7 linked regions of the Macaca fascicularis genome follow. The protein of the gene in region 3 interacts with the protein of the main gene of each other region in a biochemical or structural test. Links are inferred from orthologs where the notes say so. Each region holds a gene or a part of one and is shown on either strand. Other genes may lie near its edges. The genes, in order: CKAP2, BAG1, LRRK1, SCEL, CIMIP4, BAG5 and NEK1.

Evidence for each region.
Region 1: the proteins of LRRK1 (region 3) and CKAP2 form a complex in vitro, tested with the Homo sapiens proteins (2 studies listed by BioGRID and IntAct, with this or other methods). The link is inferred for Macaca fascicularis from reciprocal best matches to the Homo sapiens genes LRRK1 and CKAP2.
Region 2: the proteins of LRRK1 (region 3) and BAG1 form a complex in vitro, tested with the Homo sapiens proteins (2 studies listed by BioGRID and IntAct, with this or other methods). The link is inferred for Macaca fascicularis from reciprocal best matches to the Homo sapiens genes LRRK1 and BAG1.
Region 4: the proteins of LRRK1 (region 3) and SCEL form a complex in vitro, tested with the Homo sapiens proteins (2 studies listed by BioGRID and IntAct, with this or other methods). The link is inferred for Macaca fascicularis from reciprocal best matches to the Homo sapiens genes LRRK1 and SCEL.
Region 5: the proteins of LRRK1 (region 3) and CIMIP4 form a complex in vitro, tested with the Homo sapiens proteins (2 studies listed by BioGRID and IntAct, with this or other methods). The link is inferred for Macaca fascicularis from reciprocal best matches to the Homo sapiens genes LRRK1 and CIMIP4.
Region 6: the proteins of LRRK1 (region 3) and BAG5 form a complex in vitro, tested with the Homo sapiens proteins (2 studies listed by BioGRID and IntAct, with this or other methods). The link is inferred for Macaca fascicularis from reciprocal best matches to the Homo sapiens genes LRRK1 and BAG5.
Region 7: the proteins of LRRK1 (region 3) and NEK1 form a complex in vitro, tested with the Homo sapiens proteins (2 studies listed by BioGRID and IntAct, with this or other methods). The link is inferred for Macaca fascicularis from reciprocal best matches to the Homo sapiens genes LRRK1 and NEK1.

The regions. Positions count from the first base shown.
Region 1 is NC_088391.1:31,638,449-31,642,354, forward strand, and holds part of CKAP2 (cytoskeleton-associated protein 2), read left to right. Parts: intron 1-161; coding exon 162-332; coding exon of another isoform or gene 333-341; intron 342-3,566; coding exon 3,567-3,636; intron 3,637-3,906. UniProt on the Homo sapiens protein: Possesses microtubule stabilizing properties. Involved in regulating aneuploidy, cell cycling, and cell death in a p53/TP53-dependent manner.
Region 2 is NC_088389.1:65,829,503-65,833,408, reverse strand, and holds the end of BAG1 (BAG family molecular chaperone regulator 1), read right to left. Parts: intron 2,206-3,906; coding exon 2,098-2,205; intron 1,587-2,097; coding exon of another isoform or gene 1,498-1,586; intron 917-1,497; coding exon 854-916; intron 304-853; coding exon 214-303; 3' UTR 21-213; downstream 1-20. UniProt on the Homo sapiens protein: Co-chaperone for HSP70 and HSC70 chaperone proteins. Acts as a nucleotide-exchange factor (NEF) promoting the release of ADP from the HSP70 and HSC70 proteins thereby triggering client/substrate protein release.
Region 3 is NC_088381.1:86,092,058-86,095,963, reverse strand, and holds part of LRRK1 (leucine-rich repeat serine/threonine-protein kinase 1), read right to left. Parts: intron 3,435-3,906; coding exon 3,262-3,434; intron 2,162-3,261; coding exon 2,041-2,161; intron 1,796-2,040; coding exon 1,636-1,795; intron 485-1,635; coding exon 208-484; intron 1-207.
Region 4 is NC_088391.1:68,554,542-68,559,088, reverse strand, and holds the start of SCEL (sciellin), read right to left. Parts: upstream 2,985-4,547; 5' UTR 2,866-2,984; intron 1-2,865. UniProt on the Homo sapiens protein: May function in the assembly or regulation of proteins in the cornified envelope. The LIM domain may be involved in homotypic or heterotypic associations and may function to localize sciellin to the cornified envelope.
Region 5 is NC_088384.1:14,674,664-14,678,569, reverse strand, and holds part of CIMIP4 (ciliary microtubule inner protein 4), read right to left. Parts: intron 3,179-3,906; coding exon 3,034-3,178; intron 1-3,033.
Region 6 is NC_088381.1:171,733,201-171,737,772, forward strand, and holds the start of BAG5 (BAG family molecular chaperone regulator 5), read right to left. Parts: upstream 3,054-4,572; 5' UTR 2,397-3,053; coding exon 2,299-2,396; intron 1,590-2,298; coding exon 218-1,589; 3' UTR 1-217. Other genes in the region: COA8 (cytochrome c oxidase assembly factor 8), read left to right, coding at 3,404-3,526. UniProt on the Homo sapiens protein: Co-chaperone for HSP/HSP70 proteins. It functions as a nucleotide-exchange factor promoting the release of ADP from HSP70, thereby activating HSP70-mediated protein refolding.
Region 7 is NC_088379.1:174,218,322-174,222,227, forward strand, and holds part of NEK1 (serine/threonine-protein kinase Nek1), read right to left. Parts: intron 2,103-3,906; coding exon 1,894-2,102; intron 595-1,893; coding exon 464-594; intron 301-463; coding exon 168-300; intron 1-167. UniProt on the Homo sapiens protein: Phosphorylates serines and threonines, but also appears to possess tyrosine kinase activity. Involved in DNA damage checkpoint control and for proper DNA damage repair.

The sequences.
Region 1 (3,906 bases), on a different chromosome or scaffold from region 3:
AATGTTCATTTTTTACTAATAAATGTCTCAACTAATATTTCATTTTTTTTGTTTTATGCTTATGGCTATCTTTATCATTGATCTTGACTATAGTAGGCTCAATTATTGTTCATAGTTTGTAAGCTAAAAAATATTACACACATTATTTCTTGCTCTTTTAGGGATGTCCAAAAGAAGACATACTGGTCACACTGAATGACCTGATTAAAAATATTCCAGATGCCAAAAAGCTTGTTAAGTATTGGATATGTCTTGCACTTATTGAACCACTCACAAGTCCTATTGAAAATATTATTGCAATCTATGAGAAAGCCATTCTGGCAGGGGCTCAGGTAAGATAAACATTTGCTGATCTTTACGATTACAGTGTAGCAGACAATTTGGAATTAATTTGAAACACATCACAACATAGCTTGAGAAAATTGTGGTTGTATATGTAGTAGTTGTAAATGTTTAAAGGCCACAAAGATTGCTGTTTGTTGGCCTTCTAAGTCTTTTATTACTGTACTGGGAATAATCAGACTTTAGAAAGTGGGTATAAGCTGAAATGTATATTTAGTGAAACTTTCTGCATGAAATGTCTTAGCATATTATTGTATGCATTTCCTGGTTGAAAATTTATGGGGAGACTGAATGTAATATTAAAATTTGTTTATTGAATATAAAGCAAAAGGGATGAAATTAGCTTTTTAAATGTTATCAAGCTCTTTTGGTTTTGTGAGAGAACTCTTTCACTTTAAGAGTAAACCCAGGCTGGGCGCGGTGGCTCAAGCCTGTAATCCCAGCACTTTGGGAGGCCGAGATGGGCGGATCACGAGGTCAGGAGATCGAGACCATCCTGGCTTACACAGTGAAACCCCGTCTCTACAAAAATAGAAAAAACTAGCTAGACGAGGTGGCGGGCGCCTGTAGTCCCAGCTACTAGGGACGCTGAGGCAAGAGAATGGCGTAAACCTGGGAGGCGGAGCTTGCAGTGAGCCGAGATCGCGCCACTGCGCTCCAGCCTGGGCGACAGAGCAAGACTCTGTCTCAAAAAAAGAAAAAAAAGAAAGAAAAAAAAAGTAAACCCAAATGTACTGCTATATCTACACTGTATAGATTGATCCTGTCTGCATACAGAAAATGGCAATAAACCAGTTTCTCGAACATTATTACCTCTATAATGGTTTGATACCATACTCCTTACCTCTTCCAGCCTATTGATACACAAAGTTTTGGGTGTAGAATAAATCATTTCTTGAGTTTGTGTGGTTGGGTTTTTTTTTTTTTTCGTGGATACATGTTCTTAAAATATGTTTCGTTTTAATCCAGGTTTCTCAGAAACACATTCTTAGAGATTGTTTACATAGATAATTTTTTTAAACTCCTTTTTTTTTTTTTTTTTTTTTGAGACGGAGTCTCGCTCTGTTGCCCAGGCTGGAGTGCAGTGGCCGGATCTCAGCTCACTGCAAGCTCCGCCTCCCGGGTTTACGCCATCCTCCTGCCTCAGCCTCCCGAGTAGCTGGGACTACAGGCGCCCGCCACCTCGCCCGGCTAGTTTTTTGTATTTTTTTAGTAGAGACGGGGTTTCACCGTGTTAGCCAGGATGGTCTCGATCTCCTGACCTCATGATCCGCCCGTCTCGGCCTCCCAAAGTGCTGGGATTACAGGCTTGAGCCACCGCGCCCGGCTTAAACTCCTTTTTTTAAGAAAGATGTATTCACCGTTGTCTCAACAAAATCAACAAATGCTATTTGACTTTTCACTTAAGTAAAAAATCAGATATTCAGCAGATAGTCTCTCAGTGGCTATCATGTGTAAAACTCTTTTCAGAATGGTAATTATATTTGATAGATGCTACCTGGAAAGGAGTGTTAGGCCCCTACTATGTTGTATCAGAAGGGACATTACTTAAGGCAACTAAGGACATTGTAGCAAGGATGCAAAGTTGGAGCCAAGGCTCACATACAAAGCAATAATGTAAACGGAAAGATACAATACCAGAGGAGAAGCTGCTGGAAAACAAGAATCAAAATTAGCCAAGATGGCTGGGCACAGTAGTAGATACCTATAGTCCCAACTACTTGGGAGGCCAAGGTGAGAGGATTGCATAAGCCCAGGAGTTTAGGCAACACAGACCCTATCTCTTAAAATTAGTGGCCAGGTATGATGGTTCACGGCTGTAATGCCAGCACGTTGGGAGGCCGAGGTGGGAGGATCGTTTGAGTCCAAGAGTTCAAGACCAGCCTGGGCAAGATGGTGAGACCCCATCTCTGCAAAAAAAAAATTTAAAGTTTTTTTGGTGGTAGACAGTTGTGGTCACAGCTATGCAGGAAGCTGAAGTGGAAGAATTGCTTGAGCTGTAGAGTTCAAGACCAGTGAGCCATGATTGTGCCACTGCACTCCATCCTGAGTCGACAGAGCAACACCCTGTCTCAAAAAAAAAAAAAAGCCGAGAAAACTGAAAGCAGGATAGCTGAGTAATTCAGGACTAAGTTCTGGAAATAAGAATGTGAATTACACCTTCCCTAATCTTCATTGTGTTGGATGGAACATAGTAAATGCTTATAATATCTGATAAATAATGGGCTCTTAATAAATTCGTGAATGAATATGTTAAGATGATCAACCTTAAGCTCTTCAGAGATACATTTCATAGCATATGAAACAAAAATATAACCATAGACTTAAATGTAAGAGAAAAGGAGCACGGCTTAAGTAAAATTATGGGGGAAGTTGTTAAATGTGAAAATCTACGCTGGGCGTGGTGGCTCACACCTGTAATCCCAGCGCTTTGGGAGGCCAAGGCGGGCGAATCATGAGGTCAGGAGTTCAAGGCCAGCATGGCCAGCATGGTGAAACCCTGTCTCTACTAAAAATACAAAAAATTAGCTGGGCATGGTGGTATGCGCCTGTAGTCCCAGCTACTGGAGAGGCTGAGGCAGGAGAATCACTTGAACCTGGGAGGCGGAAGTTGCAGTGAGCCGAGATTGCCCCGCTGCATTCCAGCCTGGCGATAGACGGAGACTGTCTCAAAAAAAAAAGAATTCTATCCTTCATTTTTAATCTATAAATTGGAAAAGACAGCCATTTTTCTTTTATTTTTCTTTTTTCTTTCTTTTTTTTTTTTTTTTTTTTGAAATGGAGTCTCGCTGTGTCGCCCAGGCTGGAGTGCAGTGGCGCAATCTTGGCTCACTGCACATCCGCCTCCCGGGTTCACGCCATTCTCCTGCCTCAACCTCTCGAGTAGCTGGGACTACAGGTGCCCGCCACCACGCCTGGCTTATTTTTTTATATTTTTAGTAGAGACAGGGTTTCACCGTGTTAGCCAGGATGGTCTCAATCTCTCGACCTCATGATCCGCCTGCGGCCTTCCAAAGTGCTGGGATTACATACATGAGCCACCGCGCCCAGCCAAGACAGCCGTTTTTCAATCTTAATTATTAAGTGGTCTGAGAAGCATGGTTTAAGAGCCACTCCCTTACTTTAAAATACGGTATGAAGTTTTAATCACAACTTGGATACCTAGTTAATGTCAGAGAAAATAAAACTTACATGGATCTGCTTTATTCATTTAAAAAATTAAGCCTATTGAAGAGATGCGACACACGATTGTAGATATTCTAACAATGAAGAGTCAAGAAAAAGCTAATTTAGGTAAGTTTTAGTTCTTTTGTTTCCTTCAAGTGAATTGTAGTTTTGTTGTTGTTGTTTTTTAACTTTTAAGATCAGGAATACATGTGCAGGATGTGCAGGTTTGTTATAAAGGTAAATGTGTGTCATGGGGGGTTGTTTTACAGCTTATTTCCTCACCGAGGTATTAAGCCTCGTGTCCATTATTTTTCCTGATCCTCTCCCTTCTCCACCCTCCCATGTGCACCAGTGTGTGTGTTCTTGAGGTGTCCATGTGTTCTCATCACTTAACTC
Region 2 (3,906 bases), on a different chromosome or scaffold from region 3:
CACAACCACAGAGACAGAAGGAGAAAACAGACAGGAGCTTTATTCAAAATCACAAAGACACTGTTTTTCATTGAGAACCGGGTGAGAGTAGGAAAACTGGCAAATGGCCAGTTGCCCCTAGCAGCCCTGAAGAAATCAGGTAAATTCTGCTCCAGAGACGGCAGAGCTGGTGGTGCCATTCTTCAGGGCAGCATAGCCTCTTTCTGCCACACCTCACTCGGCCAGGGCAAAGTTTGTAGACTGCAGCCGCTCTGTCTCCTGGCAGATGTTCTGCTCCACTGCGTCACACTCAGCTAGGAATGCCTAGAAAATACACACAGGGCAGTAAGGGCCCATCCAGGGATAGCCAACCACTGCCCACTTGCTTAGCCATTCTGGGGAACCCATGGCTGAGACTCAAAACAGACTATGCATGAATGGAGATGGGCAACTGGCCTGGGTTCCAAGGTAAGGGGAGGGAGGGAGCATAGGACCAGCATTCTGACCATGCTCCAGGCCAGCAATCCCCTAAAAGGTGGTAAAGGCAGGGAGCTTTGCCACAAGGCCACTGCACAGCACCTGAACAATCGCAGGAAGCAATGTATGCATGAATACTGCTTCCAGGAATTGTGTAACGTGTCAGCCCTATCTGCTCTCCAGTGAGTTCCCTCCCTAAACAGTTTAAATTCATATATAATTACAGGGACATACGGGGCTCTTCTCTGACGTTCAGGGTTCCTGTTGATAAATAAGTAATAACCAAAACAGGCCCATACCACACACCATGCTGCTATACTACCGACTCTGAAGAGATAAACATGCATACCTACACACTAACATATTACGCCTCGTGGTGCACTATTACACAACTCACCTGAACCTTTTTTACCAAGCCTTTCCTTTTCAATCTACTGTCTTTGAAATTTTCTGGCAGGATCTATGGAAGAGTAAGTTGATAATACAAGTTAGTAAATAGTAAACATGTAACAAATAATCCTCAGTGAAAATGACATGAGAACACATAAGAAACACCCACAGTATATAAAACAGGTCACGGGTCACCAATGTAAACGAGATGTCCATTTTCAGGAACCCTTTCCCTGAGTCTGTATCCTATATTGCCTTCCCATGGCTCTTGTCCCTATAAAAGCTCCCTGTATTCTCAACGTCTGGCCCGTAGGAACTGATCTGTAACACAGACTTCGTTTTTTTATTGTTTCGTATGTATGGATACTCTGCCCTGGCCAGACCATGGGCTCATTGTGACAGGAAAAGTGCCTGCTGCTGCTATTTTTTTTTTTTTTGAGACATAGTCTTGCTCTGTCGTCCAGGCTGGAGTGCAGTGGTGCAATCTTGGCTCACTGCAAGCTCCGCCTCCTGGGTTCACGCCATTCTCCTGCCTCAGCCTCCCGAGTAGCTGGGACTACAGACGCCTGCCACCACGCCCGGCTAATTTTTTATGTTTTTAGTAGAGACAGGGTTTCACCGTGTTAGCCAGGATGGTCTCGATCTCCTGACCTTGTGATCCACCCGCCTCGGCCTCCCAAAGTGCTGAGATTACAGGCGTGAGCCACTGCGCCCGGCGCTGCTGCTTCTTTACACCCTCCCTGGCCAACAGAAACACACAGTGCAGTTCACCTTCAAGAATGAAGCATCAGGCTAGAGATATCATTACTATCATCTGCAAAAGAGAACCCCTGAGTTAACGATTTTCAGCAGCCTCACAAGATCTGGGTCTGGCTGAATCCTCTATAAGTAATGAGGCCTGCAGAATTATCAGTCACATGAGTATCAGAGAAAGTGAAAACCTGTTTCCTTGACCATGAGATCGTGGACTCCTTGGGTCCCAGCTTCATGATGATTACAGATGCTACTGGCAAACATAAGTATAAATGATAAAAGTCCTATACTGGAGGGCTGTGAGTGCCTAGAAAGCAGGAACTGTCTTATCATTGTGCATTCACCCAGGACCAAGCAACGTGATTGGCACACAAAAGCAGATGCTTAATATTCTTAAGTGATGGGTTTGCTCAGACAATAGGAGAGTACATTACTGGAAGAGTGAATGTGACTGAAATAAAGACAAAACTAGTTCTTCTCAGCTGAATATTTACTTACCAGTGTGTCAATCTCCTCCAAGATCTTCATAAACTGCTCTATTGTGGCTTTTACTCTCCTATCAAGTTTGCAGAGAGCTTCAGCTTGTAAATCCTTGGGCAGAAAACCCTGTGGGAAATAATGCATTACTGCAAGGGTTCTTTGAGGCTGATGGAAAACTCCATGCCACAATACTACTGAAGCGATCACACTGAGTCCAACATAGCCCTGGCAGGCCAGGCCACATTTCAGATCCACAACTTCATCTCTTGGAAAAATTTAAAAGACTGGCCGTGGGCCAGTCCAAGAATTCTATCAGGTTGCAGTCTGCTCTACCTCGCATGACCCACTGTGGCTGCGAATGCCTCCTGAGGCTTGGTGCCAGTGAAGCCCCCAATCACAAATGTATCCTGTACACAAGAAGCAGATGTTAAAAGCACAGGCTTAGAGTCTTCAAAGCCTAGGCTTGAAAACTGACTGCCATTTACTAACTTGTGATCTTGAGCAAATTACTTAGCCTATTCATGTCTCAGTACCCTCATTTTAAAAATGAAGATTATGATACTCACACCCTAGAGGGTTACTGTGAGGTAAAGGGAATATATGTACATGTGTCACTAACCTGTGGCACAGACACATGCTAACGAATGGCAGCAGTGCTTATTTTTATCAAATTGTCTAATGGTTCACTCACATAGCTTGGCCTAATGACCAGTTAGCTGGTGACAAGAGTTGGATAGCAGGGATCTCTGAGGATGTTTATCACAGCCAAGAGCTACAAATACAGATTTCACAACATGTAGCAAGAGCTTTAAACATCAACCAACAATTCCAACTCAAAGAATTTATTCTACTAAAAAAACCAGGAATGGTCAAAAAAGATTTATGTCCAAGGATAGTCAAAGAAGCATTACACATAATGGTAAAAATAGTATTAAATGAACAATACAGAATTGGCTAGGTAAATGATACATTTATACAAGATGAAATGCATGCAAGCTTTGAAAAATACCATCATAGGAAAATGTTTAATTTTTTATCCAAAAAAATAGTTTATAAAGTGTATATAACATTATATCAATTTTTTTTAAGATGAAAAATATATTTCAGGCTTCGATAATGGTTATCTCTGAGTTGGGGCCTCATGGATAATTTTTATTTTCCATATTAGTGCCTATACATGCACTTAAAACTTTTGTACAGTCAGCATGTATTCTGTAATTAAAACACAAACATATAGGCCGGGCAAACACAAACATACAGGCCGGGCACGGTGGCTCACACCTATAATCCCAGCACTTTGGGAGGCCAAGGCGGGCAGATAACTTGAGGTCAGGAGTTTGAGAACAGTCTGGCCAACATGGTAAAACCCCATCTCTACTAAAAATACAAAAAAATCAGACAGATGTGGTGGCAGGCGGCGCCTGTAATCCCAGTTACTCGGGAGGCTGAGGCAGGAGAATCGCTTGAACCTGGGAGGCAGAGGCTGCAGGGAGCCGCTGAGATTGCACCACTGCACTCCAGCCTGGGTGACAGAGTGAGACTCCATCTCAAAAAAAAAAGCCAAAACACACCCCAATTAATGTTACACAATGAGAAGGAAAAATAAATAAGTGGTCTTGAGCTAGTCCTAATCCTTACTGGGTTTCAGTACCCCATCTCTAATATAAGGAATTGAATAGGATGACCCCCTCCAACCCCACTATCATGTTTAACTTGGACCTTCTATGAACCAACAAAATGTCATTTGCCTTGCCAAACACATTACAACAGCCCAGAGAGAGAGAAGCTACTTGTTCTATTTCAGACAATTCATGATCTGAGCATGGC
Region 3 (3,906 bases):
GGCACAGGAGGGAGTGGCCAGCTGTGCTCACTGTCCCGCTGACCCAGGCCAGGCAAGCAGGTCATCAGGTGCTGGCCTGTCCCTAGGGGGCAGCAGTGGCAGCACTGATCCCTGGAAATCTTGTTCAGGCCACCAGTGGCTCCAGACCCCAAATCCCTCTTTCGGGGAGCAACCTGCACAGCCTGGCATGGTAAGTTGTATCCTCACCTGTCATTGGCGACGGGCAGGGCGATCTCAAACTTGGCCAGGAACTGGAAGTACTGCTCTTCCGTCTGCTGTGTGAAGCCAGTCCCCACCAGTAGCATCCTGAGGTCTTCTGCTCTGATCACCCCATTCTTGGCCACTGACCGGGAGCCCTTAATGTTAAAGATCCTCTGCAGACATTCGGACAGCCAAATAGGGTCGAGGAAGTAGAGGTTCCTCAGGCCGTGGCTGGTGTCTGGGAAGTGTAGCAGGGTGCCAGTTTCTATGAGGAAGCTGATGGCTGCCCCAGGCAAGGAGAGGAGGAAGCAGCAGTTAGACAAAGGAGCGAAAGGGACTCTGGGGTGGCCTTACTTTCCAAGGGGACCCAGGTCACAAATTCTTCCTAGGAAGAAACCAACATGCCCCACATGCTGGACCCTTCAGGTGGGTTGGCAGCCTGATCACAGGTGCCCTGGTGGCCCCTGGTAACTCTTGCCAAAGTCCTAGGCTAATGGCCACCTCGGTAACTACAGTTGATCCTCATTATTTGTGGATTCCGCCTTTGCAAATTTGCCTTCTTACTAAAATTTATCTGCGACCCCCAAATCAATGCTCCTGTGGTTATTTGCAGACATGTGCTGAGTGGTGAAAAGTTTGCATTGACCAATGTGCACATTCCCAGCGGAGGCTGAACAGGGCAACACTCTCAACTCTCGTGCTGAAAACAGGGGCCTGCTTAGTGGTCTATGTCAGTGCCATGTTTTTTGAATTTTTGTGCTTTTTGTTGATGCTTTCACTGTTTAAAATGGTCCCAAGTGAAGTGCTGAAGCGCTGTGTAGTTCCCTAAGCGTGAGAAGGCTGCGATGTGCCTTATGGAGAAAACCTGTGTGTTAGATAAGTTTTGTTCAGGAATGAGCAACAGTACTGTTAACCATGAGTTCAATGCCAACAAATCAACACTATATATTAAGTACAGTGTCTTTAAGCAGCAACACACATAAAACAAGGTTCTGTATTGATGGGCTGATGAGAATGTTCTGACCAGAGGCTTGCAGGAGCTGAACCCTGCGTCTCTCCTAGGAGCACTGGTTTAGTATTTGCTATTTCAGTGATCATGGTGACTTTACAGAACATAAGTCCTGTGGCTAATGAGAATCGATTGTAACTGTTTGACCTCTGTCTCCCTGACTGAACGTCAGCCCTGGAGGGCATGGACCAGTCCATCAGTTTATATGTCTGCCCTTGTGGCCAACACAATGCTGGTGTAGAGTAGCTGTTTGTGTTCTCTACCTCCAAGGAAAGAAGGGTGAGAGGGAAGAAGGAAGGGGAGGGGGATGGAAGACAGAAACACAGGCTGATTATCGGTCTCTCATTCATTGCTGAGGGCCAGGCTGAAGTACAGACAGTTCCATTTCTCACGGGCACCCTGCCGCCCACCCCAGCCCCACCCACCCGACTGCAGGTCCTCGTAGTCTTTGATGTCATTGTCGGGCGTCTGCTCCACCAGCTGCTCCAGCTGCCTGTCCGTCAGGTACTGCACGTCGTCGTCCAGGCTGCGGCGCTGCTGCTCTGCCAGCACGGCCTCCTGCAGACTCAGGTAGCTCCTGGGGATCTGGGGGACAGACGGACGAGGCAATTCCCGAGGCATGCCCGCCAGCTGGGGCAGATCCTGCCTGGCCCCTGTGGCCTGAGTGGGTGGGACATTTCCACCCACTATCTTCCATCCTGACCCTCCCTCACCAAGAACGACTGAGCCTTGCCACATGGACATGGGCTTCACAGGAGAGAGGGGAAGTGAGGATCCCCAACAATGGGAAGCAGGCCTACTGGTTTAAGCTGGACGAGCGAGGTACCCACCAGCCTCCCTGCCAGTCGCTGGCAGCCGATGGTGCTGCCCACGTCCTTCATGCTGCACGTGACGTGGAAGATCAGCTGCCGCAGCCCTTCCTGGCCTTCCAGGCTCTTGCAGGAAATCTCACTGTGTGCAAAAAGACCCGTCTTTACTCATCGTGCCCCACTCCGAGGAAGTGCTGCAGCTTCTCTGTTTTCCCAAGAGGTTTGTCCTGAATGCTGGCAAGTCTGGAGAACTCATGAAAGACAACACAAGAAGTTTACTGAGGCCTTGCTTTGTGCAAATCACTGTGCTGGGTGCCCCACACTGTCGCTTTAGTCTGTCTTCCTAGACCAAACATGGCACTTCACAGAGAAGGAAAGTGAGGTGCAGAGGTACATTGAGACCCCCAAGGGCACAAGCTGGGCAGGCACAGGCTCACGCAGGCTGGTCTCAGGTTCTGACCCAGAGCCAGGGCTCCTCTTATCACAGACCCTATGGGACTTTCTCAAGGTCAAAGCAATAATTCCTGACAGCCTCATCCCGTATTCCGAGCCAGGCCAATGTGTCCCAGGCTGACCCACGCACCAATACCCATGACGCTCCACCCCGGGCGAGGGAATCTGAGAGCTGCCAGGGCAGCTAATGCAATGTGCAGTATATTTTACTCCCATTAGGGCACACAATTTGCTGAACCTCAGCTTCTTCATCTACAAGGTGGCAAACAATCCCCACAACCAGTGACAGGAGGTCAGCCCAGGGCAATTGAACTTATCTGCATGGACACGTCGTGATGCCCACCCGAAAGCCCCTCCCAACTCTTGGCCTTTTTTAACTCAAAGGCTGCTATCAGGACCACTCAGACCAAAGGCAAGGGCTAGGTCCTCCCTCCCCAGGGTCTGTCCTTGATCAGTGATCAAAAAATGAGATGGGCAGCAATTGGATGGGTGGTGCCCATGTTCAGTCACCTGGTTCAATGGGCACCATGCAGTTTCAGCACTGGCCCTTGGGGCGGGGACAGGGCAGAAAGGAAGCAAAGAGGGGGCATCTCCAGGCCTCACCCAGCCAGCTGTCTGGTAGGTCTTCACCCTCTCCAAGGCTGGGTCAGCTCTGTGGACTGCCCCCCCTTGGCCAGGGAAGGGGCCTAGCCCCACCCAGCCTCAGGAGCTCTCTGTAAGCAGATCCCAGGAAGGATCAGCGACTGGCACCCACATGAAGGCGGGAGCTGCTAGAGGCTGGGCACTCACTGTAAGTGTTTGAAGGTGATGTCTGGGAAGCCTGTGGCCCTGGAGCCGGAGGGGGAGCGGCAGAGCGCCAGCACATAGGCACGCAGCGTTGCAATCCTTTCCACACGGAACTTGGCTTCAATTAAATCCAGGTGTGTCCCGACCACCAGCACCACGGCATTTGGGGCCTTGGCCTGCAACAGAGAACCCCACGGCTGAGTATCGTCTCTGTTCACTGAACAAGGGACAGGACAGAGCTCCCAGCTGTGCTGACCCCGGATGCCACAGCCCTTGCTCAGCCACCAATCTGCAGCCTTGAGATGGTTTGGATGTTTTTCTCCTCCAAATCTTATGTTGAAATGTGATCCCCAGTGTTGGAGGTGAGGCCTGATGGTAGGTTGGGTCATGGAGGTAGATCCCTCATGAATGGCTTGGTGCCCTCCTGCAGTAATGAATGCATTCACCCTATGTCAGTTCACAGAGGAGCTGATTGTGAAAAGGAGCCTGGCTCTTCCTCCTCTCTCTCCTGCTCCCTCTCTCACCATGTAACATGCTGGCTCTCCTTCTCTTCTGCCATGACTAAAAACTTCCTGAGGCCTAACCAAAAGCCAAGCAGATGCTGAAGCCATGCTTGTATAGTCTGTGGAACTGTGAGCCAAATAAACC
Region 4 (4,547 bases), on a different chromosome or scaffold from region 3:
TAGAAGCAAACCAGTTGTCATTTAATAGATAGCTATAAAATTCACTCTTCCAGTTAAGTATTACAATAAAAAGATGACTCATATCCTTAAAAAATTTAGTAATCAACATGAAATGAAAGTCTAGTAAATGTAGCTGTCATTTGGCAAAGCATCCATGTAAGGAAGAGCTTCTCCCAAGCCCCAAAATCACAAGTTCGTGGAAAAATCACAGTTTACCATTTGTACAGTGGTAAGCTGGAAACACTTAAGGAATATAACTGATAAAGACTTTTGATTAAGGCCAGGTGCATTGGTTATGCCTGTAATCCCAGCACTTTGGGAGGCCGAGGCGTGTATATCACCTGAGGTCAGGAGTTCGAGACCAGCCTGGCCAATATGGTGAAACCCCGTCTCTACTAAAAATACAAAAATTAGTCAGGTGCACACGTGTAGTCCCAGCTACTCGAGAAGCTAAGGCAGGAGAATCACTTGAACATGGGAGGCGGAGGCTGCAGTGAGCCAAGATCGTGCCATTGCACTCCAGGCTGGCAAAAAGAGCGAGACTCCATCTCAAAAAAAAAAAAAAGCAACAACAAAAATGACTTTTGATTCAGAAGTGAACTTGGAACAACTCCAGCTATGTATGCAGCAATTAATATATAAAAATCTTTATTTCAAAGTCCCTAGCCAGAGCAAATGGAAAATGATCAACAAATGGTCTAGAAGCAGGATAATGACAGAAAGTGAAGCCAAGTGAAACCAATAAAGATTTCCCTTGGACTGCAGGGCCAAAGATTTGATCCCCTCACTCTTAAGAAATGGTGGGAGTTGATGCCTGAACCATATAGGATGCTCTCAGTTAAACAATGTTTGCTTAAGTTGACTGCTTAGTTCATTCCACAGTATGAGCTCAGTCATTCAAAACATATTCTTTGTTTTGTTTACATAGTCCCCAGGAATATGAACCTCTCAGGTATTTCATCATAATTCTGGTAGTCTGAGAAGGCAGTCAGGTAAGCATCACCTACAGAATGGCATTCGGGGCGAGGGTGTTCTGATTGTACAGACCACAGCTAACACACATACATCAGATCCCCTCCCTGCTGAGGGGCTACTGGATCCTGAGATGAAAATCTCATAAATATAATAAATGGCAACACTGATTCCACAAGCCACAAGTTGGAAACATATGTCTATGTCTTCCATTATGTCTTAGTCACACCATACACAGTATAATATTTCCACATATTGCTGGATAACCACAGTCTGTGATGGAGTGTGGTTCGTTTATTGCTACTACATATTTTATAATAAAAAGTATTTGAAAAAAATATTGAGAAAATTCAGTAAGACAAAAGACAAGCAATTTGGCTTCATGTTCTGGTTCTGCTACTCTGATCTTCACAAGTTACTTAACATTTATGCTTTGTTTTTCTCATCTAGAAAATTCAGGCATTAGACTAGATGGGCCTATGCTCCATTTCAGTTGAAATATTCAGTCAATTAGATCTAAGATTTACACGAAGCTAACATTCCAATAAAAATTCTGACCTGTTGTTGGCATTCTCTGCATATCCCAACATTTAGGATCATCTGAATGTTTTACTAAAATTTTTACTGTTGTCATTTCTCAGTTTTCTCAAATTGATGTTTCTGATACTTTAAACACTGGAGCACCGCAAATATTAGGAAGGCTATATCTACGTTATAAACTGTGGAAGTGAAAGACAGTTTTAAATGTAATCACATTTTATGAAAAATAAAATTACCCACACATGCTATGCTTTAGTTTTCTGGTTACTATAAACACTTGAAAGCCAAGTTATAAAATTCTTCGGTAAACCTCTGGGAAATGAGCACTGAGCACTGGTGTGCCTAAACCCCTCTCAGACTGCAGGTGACCTGGTCAGCAATAGGAAGCCATGAGAACTCAAGTACTAAAGATAGAGCCAAGTATGCTGTGGGGGCGCCTCTCTGGAGGACACAGACCTGCAATTTGCAAGCTGTGAGTGGCCCCTGCATTTGAATTCCACAGCTCTGTATCATAAATAGAAATGATTAAAAAAAAAAAAAAAACACAAACCAGACAAGTCAGCTTAACTATTAATTACAAAAGAACTCTTCTATCCTTACCAAAAGTCTCCCAAAACTGGTTTTTCAGGACTAGGCTATGAATAAAGTTTGAAAATTGCCCCCATATATATTAATCACTCCTTAGGTTAGAATGCAGAATATACTGTAGAGAAGTTGGCCAGATGCCCACAGATCATATATACCCCTATTCTGCCCCCACACCCTGCCTTTACTCCTTGGTACTTTCAAGTAAGAAATGGCAATTTTCTTATTTGGGGAAGATAGGGTGGAGACAAAAACCTCATAAAAATAAACCTCTCTCTCTCATAGCTCAACAACTTGCAATATTTTTAGCAGTAGAGAAAAAATATGACTTATTAACTATAAAGCAATATTTGAGTTCACTATTTCACTAAAAGCATCATTTATGAAAACAGAAAGTTCCTTTAAAAAATGTTTGTATAGTCACTTGAGAAAATAAACCAGCAGGTGCTGGTCCCTTCGCTTAAATAATTTATTATCCTTTGTGTGGCAGGATTCACCAGCTGACAGCTCCCACCCAGAAAATCAAATAGGTGCTCATTTCTGTGATGCCCGTAATGTGTAAAGTTGCCAAGAAGTTCAATGCAATGTGGCCTAAAAGTACAGCAAGGAAGAGCAGAGCTAACAGTCAGCTGGAGGCTGTCAAAATTTATAGGAAGAAAAGACAAAGATAATACTGTAAGTTCTAATTTTAATCATTTGAAAGGAACACAGAGAAAGCTGTGCACATACAGCAGATGTATTTCTGTTTGCAAGTATAATTCAACTTACCTCTATTGAGCAGAAAACCAGGACTTTTTGGCTAACCGGCCTGTAGTGATTCCCTGGGAGGATCTGACTGAAAGAAATGGGAACCTAGAGTTTATTCAGTGGAGTCTCAACCTCTACCTGACTGTATTAATGAACAGTTCAGAGGTTTCTTTCTCAGCGGCTGAGTCACTCAGGGAGGAGGTCTGTGGTATGCAACAGGGTGTCACCTTGTACAAATACCAGTTCAATTAAAACAGTCTCACTCGTGAACCTACGGCCTTTGTTTGGTGAATTCTTTAACTTACGGCCTTGTTATGCAAATATATATATATATAGATACGCTCCTGTGATTGCCCTTTAACTGATATCAACAATATGCACAACCATATCACTGACAAGGTGGCATAGGACCCAATCTATTTTGCATTCTCTTTCAAAAAATAAAACTGAAAACTCAATAGAAGGAACCCCCATATGCCCACAGTACCTGGAAGGCAGGGGCACAGACAAGCATGCAAGGAGTACATGGCTTAAAGGAAACTTCAAGACAAACAAGTTCTCAAAAACCCAGGAACCCTAGGATCAGAAAACACGAAAGAAGTCTGTTCCAAACATTCTACACCTAGAATATTTTGTAAAACTATCAAAGGGAAAATACACCTAGCACATAAGAATTCTAATCTCTATCTTATTTATCCATGTATAAAAAAATGTGAAAAAGGGCCAGGCGTGGTGGCTCATACCTGAACTTTGGGAGGTGGAGGCAGGCGGATCACCTGAGATCAGGAGTTCAAGATCAGCCTGGCCAACATGGTAAAATCCTGTCTCTACTAAAAATACAGAAATTAGCTGGGTGTGATGGCGCACACCTGTAACCCCAGCTATATTTAATAACAGTAACATACCATGATAAAGTCATAGACAGAAATTTTCAATGCCAGGCATCGCATAGGGGAGAGAAGGAAGAACCTGGAAGGTGATGTTGATGCAGAGTTTTAAAGTCTTAGTAGACAGTGATTAGATGGTCAAGAAGAACCATTCATCCACTCTGGCAGGAGGAGGCAGGAGAATCACTTGAACCAGGGAGGTGGAGGTTACAGTGAGCCAAGATTATGTCACTGCACTCTAGCCTAGACAACAGAGTGAGACTCTCGCAGAAAAAAAAAAAAAAAAAAATGTGAAAAGGATGGTTGAAACTTCTCTCATAACTGAGGGCAGCAGTAGACCCAATGTCAAAGGCTGCTTCTGGCCAGTTGCAGTGGCTTTCATTTGCACTTTGGGAGGCCAAGGTGGGAAGATCACTTGAGCCAAGAAGTTTGAGACAAACCGGGCAACACAGTGAGAGAGATCTCATCTCTACTGAAAATAAAATATCAGCTGGGTGTGATAGTGCATGTATTTGTTCCCAGTTACTCAGGAGGCTGAGGCAGGAGAGTCTCTTGAGCATGGAAGGACCAAGCCACAGTGAGCTGTGATCACACCACCGCATTCCAGTCTGGGTGACAGAGTGAGACCCTATCTCAATAAACAAAAAACAAAACAAACAAACAAAAACAAAGGTTGCTTCTACTGGGAGGAAGGAGTAGCACTGAAGAGCCATCCTAGGTGGGGACTCCTGTTACAGGTTTTGAAATGCAACTTCCGTAAGTGCCAAAGAGGCTTTGAGGAAGCTTAGCAAACCCAGAACATTGCTGAGAGAAGTC
Region 5 (3,906 bases), on a different chromosome or scaffold from region 3:
CCAGGTGGATTAAAGACTTAAATGTGAAAAGCAAAGCTAAATATTTTAGAAGACTGTATAAAAGATGATCTCTATGATTCAGCATAGGATAGGAGTCCCTCAGCCTGCTCCCCCAGCACCTTCTCCAACTCAGTAAATAGCCATCTCATCCTTCCAGTCGTTCAGGTCAAAAACGTTGAAATCAACCTTAATTCCTGTATCTCACCCCAAAATCTATTCATTAGCATATTCTCTTCTCTCTGCCTTATACAAATATCCAGAATCCTACTACATCAGGCCACCTTCACCATTACCTCCCTGAGCTGCTATATTGCACAATGGTGCCTTCCAGAATCGTGCAGTGCACTAGCCCAGCTTCCAGGACCAAGCCACCATCATCTGTCCCATCTGGAGTTTTGCAGCTGCCTCCTACCGGTTTCCCTGTTTCTGCCCCAGCTCCCTATGTCCATTCTCCCCATAGCAACTGGAGTGAGCCTTTAACCTGAGCCAAACAGGACCATTCTCCTGCTTAAAACCCTGGCTTGGTTTCTCATCTCACTCCGAGTAAAGACCTTCCAGCAGGCTTCACGACCCAGTGTGTTTCCTCTGATGTCTTCTGCCTCACTCTTGTGCAGCCATACCAGTCTCACCAACCTCAAACAGCAAGCGCAAAGGCTAACCCCGGGTGGGTGGAGACAGAGAGGGACAGATGGATGGGCACACTGACAGTACTGTGCTGCAGGGTGAAGCCCTGATTCGTAGTGTTTGCCAATTTCCAGAGTGTAAATACTACTAGCATAGCCAATTTTAAGACAGCATTTATGTGCCAATCAGTGCAGCGAAACAATTGCCTCCTGTGAGCTGGCTCAAGCTGCTAGGAGCTCCAGCACATCCTTGGCACAGTTCTACTTCCCAGGTGGGATGATGGGACATGGACATTTTAAAAAACAGATTCTTTTACATTTAAGTAGACATTATCATACAAAGTTGTATGGAATAGCTATTTGGTGACCGATACTTGTTAAAGAGAGAACTGGAAGGCAGGATCTGGAAGGCCCAGAACAGAGAGCAAGCAGAACTGTATTCTTGGCCGGGCGCGGTGGCTCAAGCCTGTAATCCCAGCACTTTGGGAGGCCGAGACGGGCGGATCACGAGGTCAGGAGATCGAGACCATCCTGGCTAACACGGTGAAACCCCGTCTCTAATAAAAAATACAAAAAAAACCTAGCCGGGCGAGGTGGCAGGTGCCTGTAGTCCCAGCTACTCGGGAGGCTGAGGCAGGAGAATGGCGTGAACCCGGGAGGCGGAGCTTGCAGTGAGCCGAGATCTGGCCATTGCACTCCAGCCTGGGTGACACAGCAAGACTCCGTCTCAAAAAAAAAAAAAAAAAAAAAAAAAAGAACTGTATTCTTGCTTTCCTCCCCCAGCACCATCCCTTCTCCAAGCTCAAAGAAAAATCCAGAAAGGCTTCCAGTGGGTGTCTGGTTCCTCGGGTGACAGGGATCCGAGCCAGGTGGAAGAGGTTTGTCAGGCCTCTGGGAACACTGGAGAGGGCCTGGAGTGAGGAGAGAGGAAGGAGCCGCACCAGAAAGAGTCTCATTTTGCAATGAGGCCAAATCAGAATGTGGGGCAGAGAGAAGTCCTGTGTGCTGTGACGGGCATCTGAGCCATCTAGAAGACCCTGGGAACAGGATCAAAGCTAGGGAAGAGACTTAGTGGTCAAGAAAAGACTATGAGGCTGTGGAGGCAAAAGGAACACCTGACTTTGAGTCCCAGACACAATGCAGACTACTAAAAGTTCTAGCGCAAATGATCTGAAATCTGCCCGTGAAATGGAGCTAACAGCACTCTCCTCATCCCAACCAAACAGAACTACAATGACCCAATGGAAACCCTCTGTAAATGTCAGATCCTCCAACCCACCCTTCCTGTCTTCCCAGGTAGCGCCACCTCCAGGCTCTGGAGAAGAAAAATGATAGCCTGACAGCTACTGAGTGCTCACGACTTGCCTTGGCCAAGCACCTTCGTGTGGCACTTCATAAAGTCCTGCCAATGACCCAGCGAGGGCCATACTCTCATTATCATCTCCACTGTACTGAGAAGGCAGTGGAGGTTTGGAGAGGTTGAGGATCCCACCTAAGGTCACACCCAGCTAGTGAGCTGAGTTTTGAACCAAAAAAACTTGATATTGTCACTGTGATCAAAGGTTCCTGGGATGGGGCTGGGGGTGGGGAGCAGCAGTCCTGGGTCTTCTACTGAGTCCTGGGCCTCCTACTGGCAAATTAAGAACCAGAGGTGGGCAGGGTACAGTGGCTCACGCCTGTAATCCCAGCACTTTGGGAGGCCGAGGTGGGTGGATCACTTGAGCCCAGGAGTTTGAGACCAGCCTGGGCAACATGATGAAACTTTGTCTCTATCAAAAATACAAAAAACAAAACAAAAAAAAATTAGCCAGGCATGGTGGCATGCATCTGTGCTCCCAGCTACTTGTCAGGGCAGGGTTGTGGCTGAGGTGGGAGGATTGCTTGCTTGAGCGTGTGAGGTGGAGATTTCAGCGAGCCAAGACTGTGCCACTGCTCTCCAGCCTGGGCAACAGGATGAGACTTCAAAAAACACAAGAAGGGAAGGGAGGGGAGGGGAGGGGAGGGGAGGGGAAGGGAGGGGAGGGGAGGGGAGCGGAGGGGAGGGGAAGGGAAGACAAGGGAAGGCGGGGAGGGGAGGGCAGGGGAGGGAAAGGAAGGGAAAGGATGGGAAAGGAAAGGAAAGGAAGGGAAAGGAAGGGAAAGGAAAGGAAGAGAAGGGAAGGGAAGGGAAAGGAAGGGAAGGGGCCACAGGTGTCTGGGAGCGTGAGGGGCTGACTGCCAACTGGGATGAATCATCCACACATCCAGGACAGGGGTCTGGATGCTCCCAGCACTCGCAAGCTGACATAGAGGACACATGGGCATGAAATAAGTGTCCTTGGAGATGTGCCCTGGGGTAAAGGCCTTCCCTGCCCCATGCCTGAGAGACCATGGGTGTTCCCGGTCCCACCCTTTTCCCCTTTGACTTGACCTTGAAACAAGTTTGACCGCATGTTGTAGCCGAGATCATAGTAGTCTGAGAAGACGGAGGAGATTTCCACAGGATTCGGGGTCCTGCTGGGCCATGAGCTTGCCTTCTTCTGGCCCTCGAAGGCTTCATCAATAGCCCTTTGAGCCTGAGCAGAGAGGCAGGGACAACAGACCGGGGATGGGAAAGCAGTGTCAAGCCCCATATCTCCCTCCAACCCTTCCTCCCTTGACCCTGCCCTCCCCACCATGATCCCACCTTCAGCCTGCAGCCCTCAACCTGTTCACAGGGCTGGGGAGCTGGAGTATACAAAGGCCCCAGCCCCAACCCCTCTCAGCTGCACTGCCATGGGTGGGGGGCATCAGGTTAATGATCATAAAACCTCTTCCAAGCATTAAGCACCTGCTACATGCAACACTGGGGTGGGGGGTCTCTATAGGGTGCCACTCTTCCCACCATTTTATAAATGAGGAAAGCGGGCCTCTGGAGGCCCGAGATCACCCAATTCACATGGCTGGCAGGCCACAGAGCCCTGGCTTGCCTCCTACAACTGAGGCATCACGCAGGGCAGCTCTGGGTGGGTGCTTAGCTTTCAACAAGGCCAACTCCCTCTTCATACCAACAGGGAAACTGACACGCAGAGAAGCTGAGCCCAGGCCCAGGGGCAGAACACCTGGGTTTGAGTTCCAATTCTGCAATATATCAGCTGCTGACTTCGGCAAGCCTCTTCTCCGCTCTAGGCCTCAGTTTCCCTACATGTAAAATGTGAAGGCAGGGTGGAACTGGATGCTCTTTGAAGTGGCTTCCAGCTCTGACACTTGCTGGCTCAATGACACTTGTGACATAAGTTACAGGTGGGCAGAAAACACAGATTTC
Region 6 (4,572 bases), about 86 Mb from region 3:
ACCACATCATAGAGAGAATGATCCGAATGGAAAAGTTAATGTGCTGTAATGATATTTGTCTTGCAACATCACAAGCAGCAGATACTGAATAGAATTTGCTTCAATCATAAATACTGAGACTGAAATATGCACGTATAAATCAATGAACTGAAAGCTCTCTATACATAGAAGCACATATGAAGTGCAAAACAATATCAAAAGTGAGACCTCTGGTATTTTAGTACTCCCATTCATCGGATTTCAGGTCGAGATAGCTGAGAATATTCTGGGCAAGCTTCACAGCCTGTTTCCTGGCAGCCTTACACTTCTCTTCTCCCTGCGGATCAACAGCATCCAGGGCTAGCAGCTGCTTGGTGAGCAGCTCTTCCAGCCGGATGTAGTTCTTATCGGTTCGATTTCCATCAAATGAAAGAACTTCTCCTTGGATCTCGGACAAGTTTCCAAGGACGTTCCAGACGGCTTTATGGGATGGGTGCTCCTCACAAGCAAACAGCTTTCTTTTCTCAAGGGCCTCCTTCAAGTCAATATACGTGATCAGAGTTTGCACCTCGATCACTGCTCTTCTCCTGGCTTCCCGGATGCAGGGGTTTTTTTCAAGACTTACCTCATCCAACTGTCCAATTAAACCCTGCAATTCTGTTTTGGAGCTCAGGTACAATTCAGGAGGGTTTTGTGCTTGGAGAAGTTCATTTTTTATTTCTCTCATTCTCGTGAGGACCTTTTCTATTTTTAAAATGGAATGATTCTGTCTCAGGTCAAATGCTTTAGTCGTGTCTGCTTCCTCTTCCAAATCCAGATACTTCAATAATTTGTTGATATCTTCTACTACCTCCCTCCGATAATTTCTGATTTCTGTCCGGCCGCACACATCTAGAGCATCTAGGTCAGCGATCAGCCCTGAGAGCACACAGGATAAGTGCCTGCAGGTCTCACTGTTGTTCACGCCCATCAGAAGTGCAATCAGGACCCCTCGGGCCTTGTTCACCTCACACATCACAAAGTTGATTTTGGCCACGGAAGGATGTGCATCCTCGGAAAGCGGCAGGGAAGGCTGCTTTTTCATGCAGTCTTCGATAATCTCTTGCACCGCACAGATTTTGGTTAAAGTGTGATACCTTGCTTTCCGCAAGGAGATTTTTCCTCCAGTTTTAACATGTGTCAGCCTCAGAATGATATCCTGGATGCCTTCTTCAAACTCGTCAGTTACGCAGTTGCCTCCATTATAAAATGGCACAATTTTCTCTCTAACGAGGGACTGGGCTTCCTCAAAAATGTTCTGTATTTCAATCCGGTGTGGGTGGTTTGCATTCTGCTCCAACTCTTTGAGAAGACGTTCTGTCTCCTGTGCTGCCCTCTTCCTAGCTTGCTGAATATCTCCTTTTCCTTCAGTATCTACAGAGTCTATTTCAAAAAGTTGTTTTGTTAGAATCCTCTCCAGTTTCTTGTAATTCTTGTCATCTGACAGACCACTGAAGCCGACAACTTGCTGTTCTACACTTTTTACTTCCTTTTGGATTTCCTGAAGCCTACTAATAGAAGGATGTTGGTTTCCCATATCCATACTTTTGTTGTGTTCAGTTTCACAAGCACTAAAAGATGACAAGAATAACTTATTACAGCACAAGGCTTCTGCAGAACACTAATGGTATACTAAGTCATTCTAAAATTCTCATTTTAAAAAGGCATACTTTCGAGCAGTCATCCCACCTCAGCCTCCCCAGTAGCTGGGACTACAGGCGTACACCACCACGCCCAGCTAATGTTATTATTTTTAGTAGAGACAAGTCTCACTATATTGCCCAGGCTAGTCTCAGACGATCCGCCCGCCCCCGCCTCTCAAAGTGCTGGGATTAAGGTGTGAGTCACCGTACGCCGCACAAACTATTTGGAACCGGCAGGGCACCTTTATGCAAGGTGAAACAGTAGCTCTTGTAACCTTCCGAACACTAACAGTACCCCGCCCCGCCACACAGCTATGCCTAGTTTCCAGAAACTCTAAGCAAAATAAACTGAACCAGTAGAACAAAAACCAGTGGCTCTCAGATATCCCCAAGTTCCCGCTTCTTCCCTTTGTGCACTTCCCCTCCCCACCCTTTTAGCTCCTCACACATCTTCCCTCCCAGATGTCTCCCCGAAGAGATAAAAACCCCACAGGTAAAGAAGAGGGACGGGGATTGCGCTGAAGGGCACCACCTTGGGCTTTCGAGGCCCAGCACCTCCTCAGCCCCCAACATGCTCCACTGTCTCAAAAAACTACAACCTGCGAAAATGTGGTAACTGAATAATTCATTCACTCGCCTCCCACTGAGAGTCCACAATCGCCTAATGCACGTTTCAAGCTCTTGGTTTCTATCAAACGGCTCGCTCAAGGTGGGTAACCAATGGAAACGCATCATCCATCCCCTGTGGATGTTCTGGAGGCCACGGAGGGCAGGCGGCCCGAGTTCCTTCCTCCCCGCCTCGCCCTTCCCTCTTGGCTCTTTACCCAGAAGAGGTCTGAGCTGGCTGCGATCTTGGCGTCCCGTGGCTGAGGTGGCGAGGTGGAAGATCAGCCCTTTACGGGGTGCGGCACCGGAGCTGGGCCCCCAGCTGCATCCCTCGCGCCCCTCCCGACTAGGTCTGAGCGGGGCAGCCGGTGAAGGGGCCGGCGGTGAAGGGGCTGCTACTGGCTGCAGCAGCCGCTCCGGGCGTCTCGGCCTAGGTGCCAGGGCGCGCCCGCAGGCCCTGACCTCACAATGGGCGCGCGAGGGGCCCTCGGCCCGGCCGGGGGAAGCCGGGGAAGGAGGGGAGCCAAGGCCCCGCCGGAGACACCAGAGACCAGGCCCGACCACCCCTGGACAGCGTCCGAGCCAGGGACGGGGACGGCGCCGAGACCAACTCTGCTCGGCCTGTGCCGACAGGCCGCGCTGGGGTGGGCGCTGGCAGAAAGGTGGTCCAGCGGGGAGCCCCGCGCGGACGGGGGGCCCCACTCGTCCCCCCGACGGAGGGAAAAGGCCACACGCCGCGCTTCGCTCACCTGTCCCGCCCGCGCCATCGCGCGATGCGTCGCCGACGCTTCCACGACTTCCGCAGCTCCGGCCGTCGCCCGGGCCAGCCAGCCCACGCCCCTGGCCGAACACCCCTAAACCCGGGGACACCTCCTCCGGCGTCCGCGCCTAGCCGCCGACAGCGCCAAGCCCACCGCCAGCGGCGCAGCAAGGCAACTTGGAGTGACAGCGACCAAGGAGCGGCCGCCCGGGTCAGCCCGCGCCGCCCGCCGCTCCCGTAGGCCGTCGTACCGCGGGGAAAGCGCACGGTCGGCCGCACCGCCGCCCTCCCTCGGGCTTCGCGACCCTGCCGTAAAGCGGCCTCTCGCGCCGTCGCAATGCTGCCGTGCGCCGCGGGAGCCAGGGGGCGTGGGGCCATGGTGGCCTTGCGGGCGGGGAAGAAGAGTCTTCTCCGCGCTCTCAGCCGCTCCTTCGTCTGCCGCGGCTGTCAACTCGCTCCGGAGCGCGGCGCCGAGCGCAGGGATACGGCGCCCAGCGGCGTAAGCAAGCGCCTGGGGATATTGGGCCGGGAGGGGTGACCGGAAGGAAAGACAAACCGGGGCCTCGGGGCAGCTGCCTGCCATGCACAGCCGCCTCAGGCCTTTCTGCAGGTGCGCTCGCGTCCGATCCCGAACAGTCCCGCAGCCCCAAGGCTTCCGCGTCAGGGCTCTCGGTCGGATGGGACTGAGGGTGCCGCCGCCACGCCGGAGACTGTTGACAGCCAGAACCTTTAAGCATAAGAGTCTTATTTGTTCCCGAGAATGATTATTTTTTATATTTAAAGAGCTCTTGGCTTAGCGTGCATTTTTTTTTCGTGGTCTGTGTGTGTGTGTGTGTGTGTGTGTGTGTGTGTGTGTGTGTGTGTGTTTTGGCTTTGTTAAAATTATTAGAGCTTTTATTCAAGCGGTGAACACTTTATACTTTATCATCGTACTTTTGTAGCACTTCACGTTCAATAGTTGTTCTTATTTGCAAACTATGTGTGGGTATATGCATGTTACTGGCCAAAGATCCGCAAAGAATGTCTGTAGCAAGAAAGAGTGGCAAGCAATTTTTCTAAGTCATACTTTTGGGAGGGATGTTTTGTTTAAAGGAGGCCTAGGCCTTGATTCCATCTGTCAGATGAAAATGTTGGCTAACGGTGTGGAATGGGCTGGAGATAAAATATTCAAGCAAAGCATGCAAATACCAAACAGGCTAATGAAGGAGGCTGGAAAACTTGGTTTAAACAATAATTAAAGAAGTGTAAAAAAGAGCTAATTAAAAATTGTTCGGGCTCCCTGGCTCACACTTGTAATCCTAGCACTTTGGGAGGCCGAGGCGAGCAGATCACGAAATCAAGAGGTGAGACCATCCTGCCCAACATGGTGAAACCCCGTCTCTGCTAAAAATACAGAAATTAGCTGGGCGTAGTGGCACGCGCCTCTATAGACCCAGCTAGCTACTCGGGAGGATGAGGCAGGAAAATCGCTTGAACCCGGGAGGCGGAGGTTGCAGTGAGTGGAGATCGCACCGCTGCACTCCAGCCTGGCGACAGAGGGAGACT
Region 7 (3,906 bases), on a different chromosome or scaffold from region 3:
GATCAGTAAAAGTATATGACAAAGTTAATATTATTATTGCTTAAAAGTAATATAGTTCCCATGTAGATTTCACAAAACGGATGTGATGTAAGCTGAGTCATCTACATGTATCATCTTGTTTTTCTCACATTTATTGAAAATTATACAGACATGTGAGGAAATCTTACCTTCTTGGTAGGCTCCATCTGCCATGACTAAATGAAGAATCTTGGCATAAAGATGCTGATGTTCATTTCCCAAAATATTTTGAACTATTTTTGAACAAATTTCAATATTTTCATCTTCATCTTCATGAATAGCCTATACCAAATTCCCAAATATAAATTAGTATTTGAATAACTTTCTCTAATTGTAGACTTCCCTTTTTATTTATAATAAATCTAATGACCAATAAAGATCATTAACATTTCTCTAACCTTCAAACAGAGCACATTTTAAGTGTTTTAATTGACTTTTCACTTACCTTTATTTTCTCGTAAACCTCAAAGAATTTTTCAAAGCCCATTTCCTGCTCCAGATGAAGTCTCAGTTCCTCTAAATGGTTAAAGACACTATCGTATTCACATTCACTAGCATTTTCCCCATCACTGTTATCTAAAAAATAAAATTAAAATAGATATTTTGATTTAAAAAGACTGAATAAGATAACTCTTACCCTAATAGACTAAAATTCTATGACAAATGAATAATGCCATTGAAGTAGACTACTTCTACTTTCATTATAAACGGTTTTTGTCATTTTAATATTTGTCCTTTATTTGGTAAAAATTATGTATAAATCTGTCTAAACAAGAATGTTACTTTTCCTTTATAGATATAAAAAATAAGTCAGGATGGAATCAAAACACTCCTAGAGATGTTACTTAAATGAATAAAAAAGTGGAAAAAGCACACCTCCATATTTTGCTTTGAAGCAGCTAACCCTAACTACAAAAGTTGGTAATAAATGTGGGCCATACCATGGAAAAGCCTGCAGAAGGTAGACAACCTAAGACATACATCATTACATTTCAGGAAAGCACCTGGAAAGTATAAATGGCCAACATGTTTTGTCATGTACATGCTCAAGATACTTTGAAAAAAAACATTACTTAGTCTTTTCACATTAGCTTTTCTTCCTAAATTAACATAATATAGTTACTGAAATAGACACACTTTCTATGCATCTTAGGGGTAATGTTATGAAAGAGCAAATTTCCAAATTTATGAAACGAGTTTTTAGTACTTTAAAAACTGCTTTCAGTGTTAACCCTGCTGATTAATATATGCAGAAGCTCTTTCTAAAATATAGAATGACAAGAAAACAATGTTATTATCTTTATTACTGGAAAAATCAGTCAAGAAATGGAGATTAGAATAAAAATGCTTCAAAAAAGCATTGACATAATAGTAAAGAAAAAAAATTTAATAAAAAAATGGAAAATTGGCCGGGCGCGGTGGCTCAAGCCTATAATCCCAGCACTTTGGGAGGCCGAGGCGGGTGGATCACGAGGTCAGGAGATCGAGACTATCCTGGCTAACATGGTGAAACCCCGTCTCTACTAAAAATACAAAAAACTAGCCGGGCGTGGTGGCGGGCGCCTGTAGTCTCAGCTACTTGGGAGGCTGAGGCGGGAGAATGGCGTGAACCCGGGAGGCGGAGCTTGCAGTGAGCCGAGATCACACCACTGCACTCCAGCCTGGGAGACACAGCGAGACTCAGTCTCAAAAAAAAAAAAGGAAAATCACATATTTGTATGAAAAGAAAAAGAGTGAAAAATGGGAGAGACCCAGAGGCATGCTTCAGTTGTATTTAAAGTTGGAAATGGTCCACAGCAGAGATTAGAAAACTATATTCCACTTGAAATATCTGTAAACTGAAAAAGAAAAAGGTCCAAAACTCTGATTATGCACCTGAGTGCCATTCTTCGTTCAGGGCACTTTCACTGCTGGGATTGTCATCTTCATCCGCCACATCTGTCCCATTTGCAGTTGGCTCCACATCGCTGTTCTTTAAGACTGACTCTTCTTCTTCACTGTATTCTTCACTAGGTTGTTCCCTAAGTAACTGTTCCATTGAGGCCTGCAGCTCTTGTAAATCTGTGTCAGTTTCTTCAAACACACTGAAATTTAAAAGGTTTAACTGAAAGTTTCAAACATACTGAAATTTACGAAGTTAAACAACTAAAACTACCTCATGCTGAAATGTTACTTTTACTCAATATGTAGGCACTTCTACTTTAAAAATCCTAATAGATAACAAAAAATCTGGAAAAAACCTACATTGTTTTTCACCAGTAAGTTGACGATGAACACAACACATATTCTGGAATACATAAGCCAGAAGATGATTTGTTTAAATGATCCCAACTTGCCAAAGAGAATCACATAACTATTAATGTTACTCATTGCTTAAATTCTGAAACAATGTTTTGATATTTTAAGAGGCCAGACTATAGAAGTTTTTCTAAAACAAATAATAGTAAATTATTTTCTCTTTTATGGAATTCTGTAATTTTCAAAATATCCATGTGGCTAATAGCTAGACACTATACAAAAGGCTTTCCATATAAATGCCCATTGGGCATTTGAACTTTTAGAAACAGAAATACTTAGGAAATTATATATTCATGTTAACAGGATGACCCAGTGAATAAAATGGTCACCAGAAATCTTATCTTTAGATGCTTATTCTTAAAAATGTTCTAAAATACATAATAAATAGATTTTCTGTGTAACTACCCTATACCAACCATCATAATTCTTCACTGGAGAATCTTGTTTCTAAAGTATTGGTCAGAATATTAATTCTGTTTTCATGGGATTATAGATGCTGGAATGAAATAAGTCACATAAATAATACCTTACATTTATATAGAACTTTCGTTTTTTAAACAGTTTTATCCTATTACTCAAATTTTATCCATAAAAAATCACTTTAGAGACATGAAAACTATGAACCAAAGTGTTTAAATGACTTGGTCAAGGCCACATAGTCAGTAAATGACAGAGCACTGAAATCTAGGCCTTTGACCACTTCTGTAATATCCAAGGAACATACTCAGAAATTTTTTTTGCCTTTTGTGATTTGCTTCTTTCTTCTAACATGGAATGTAAATGGAAAAGTTTGTAGACTAAAGGAGTTAATTGATGTTTTAGATGTCTGAAGACTTCTGAAAGAGATTGTGAACCTAAGCCGAGGATTTCATCTATCAGGAAGGCAATGCTTAATAGAACACAAGGGCTAATTAAGGCTTTTCTAAGAGTTTAGACTCAAATCAAATATGTACTGAAGAACTAAAATATAAACACTATTGTGCAAGACTGTCAATATAATTTCCATTAAGAGAAAGAGTAAATAATCTTTTTATGTAGAAATATCTTCATTTTGTACTTATATATACAAACTCCTATAATTTGACTTGTAGGAGCTATAGAAAATCTAGGCATCTAATTAGAATGAGAAAATAGTGTCTAATCTCTTGACTCATCCCACTAGTAGCATTTAACTTAACATACAATTACAAGACTAATTTAGGCTGGGTGCAGTGGCTCACGCCTGTAATCCTAGCCCTTTGGGAGGCTGAGGCAAGAGGACTGCTTGAGGCCAGGAGTTTGAAACCAGCCTGGGCAACATAGCGAGACCTCTCTAGAAAAATATTGCAAAAAACTTGGCTAGGCGTGGTGGCATGAGCCTATATTCCTAGCTACTAGGGAGTCTGAGGCAGGAGGACTGCTTGAGCCCAGGAGGCCAAGGCTGCTGTGAGCTATGATTGTAGCACTGTACTACAGCCAGGGCAACAGAGTAAGACCCTATCTCCCAAAAAAATTTTATTATAAAAAAAAAAATCAACAGAGCATGCACACCTGCTATGTACCATTACTACAACGAGTAAATATTGACCTGTTCATAAAATCATCTAGTGG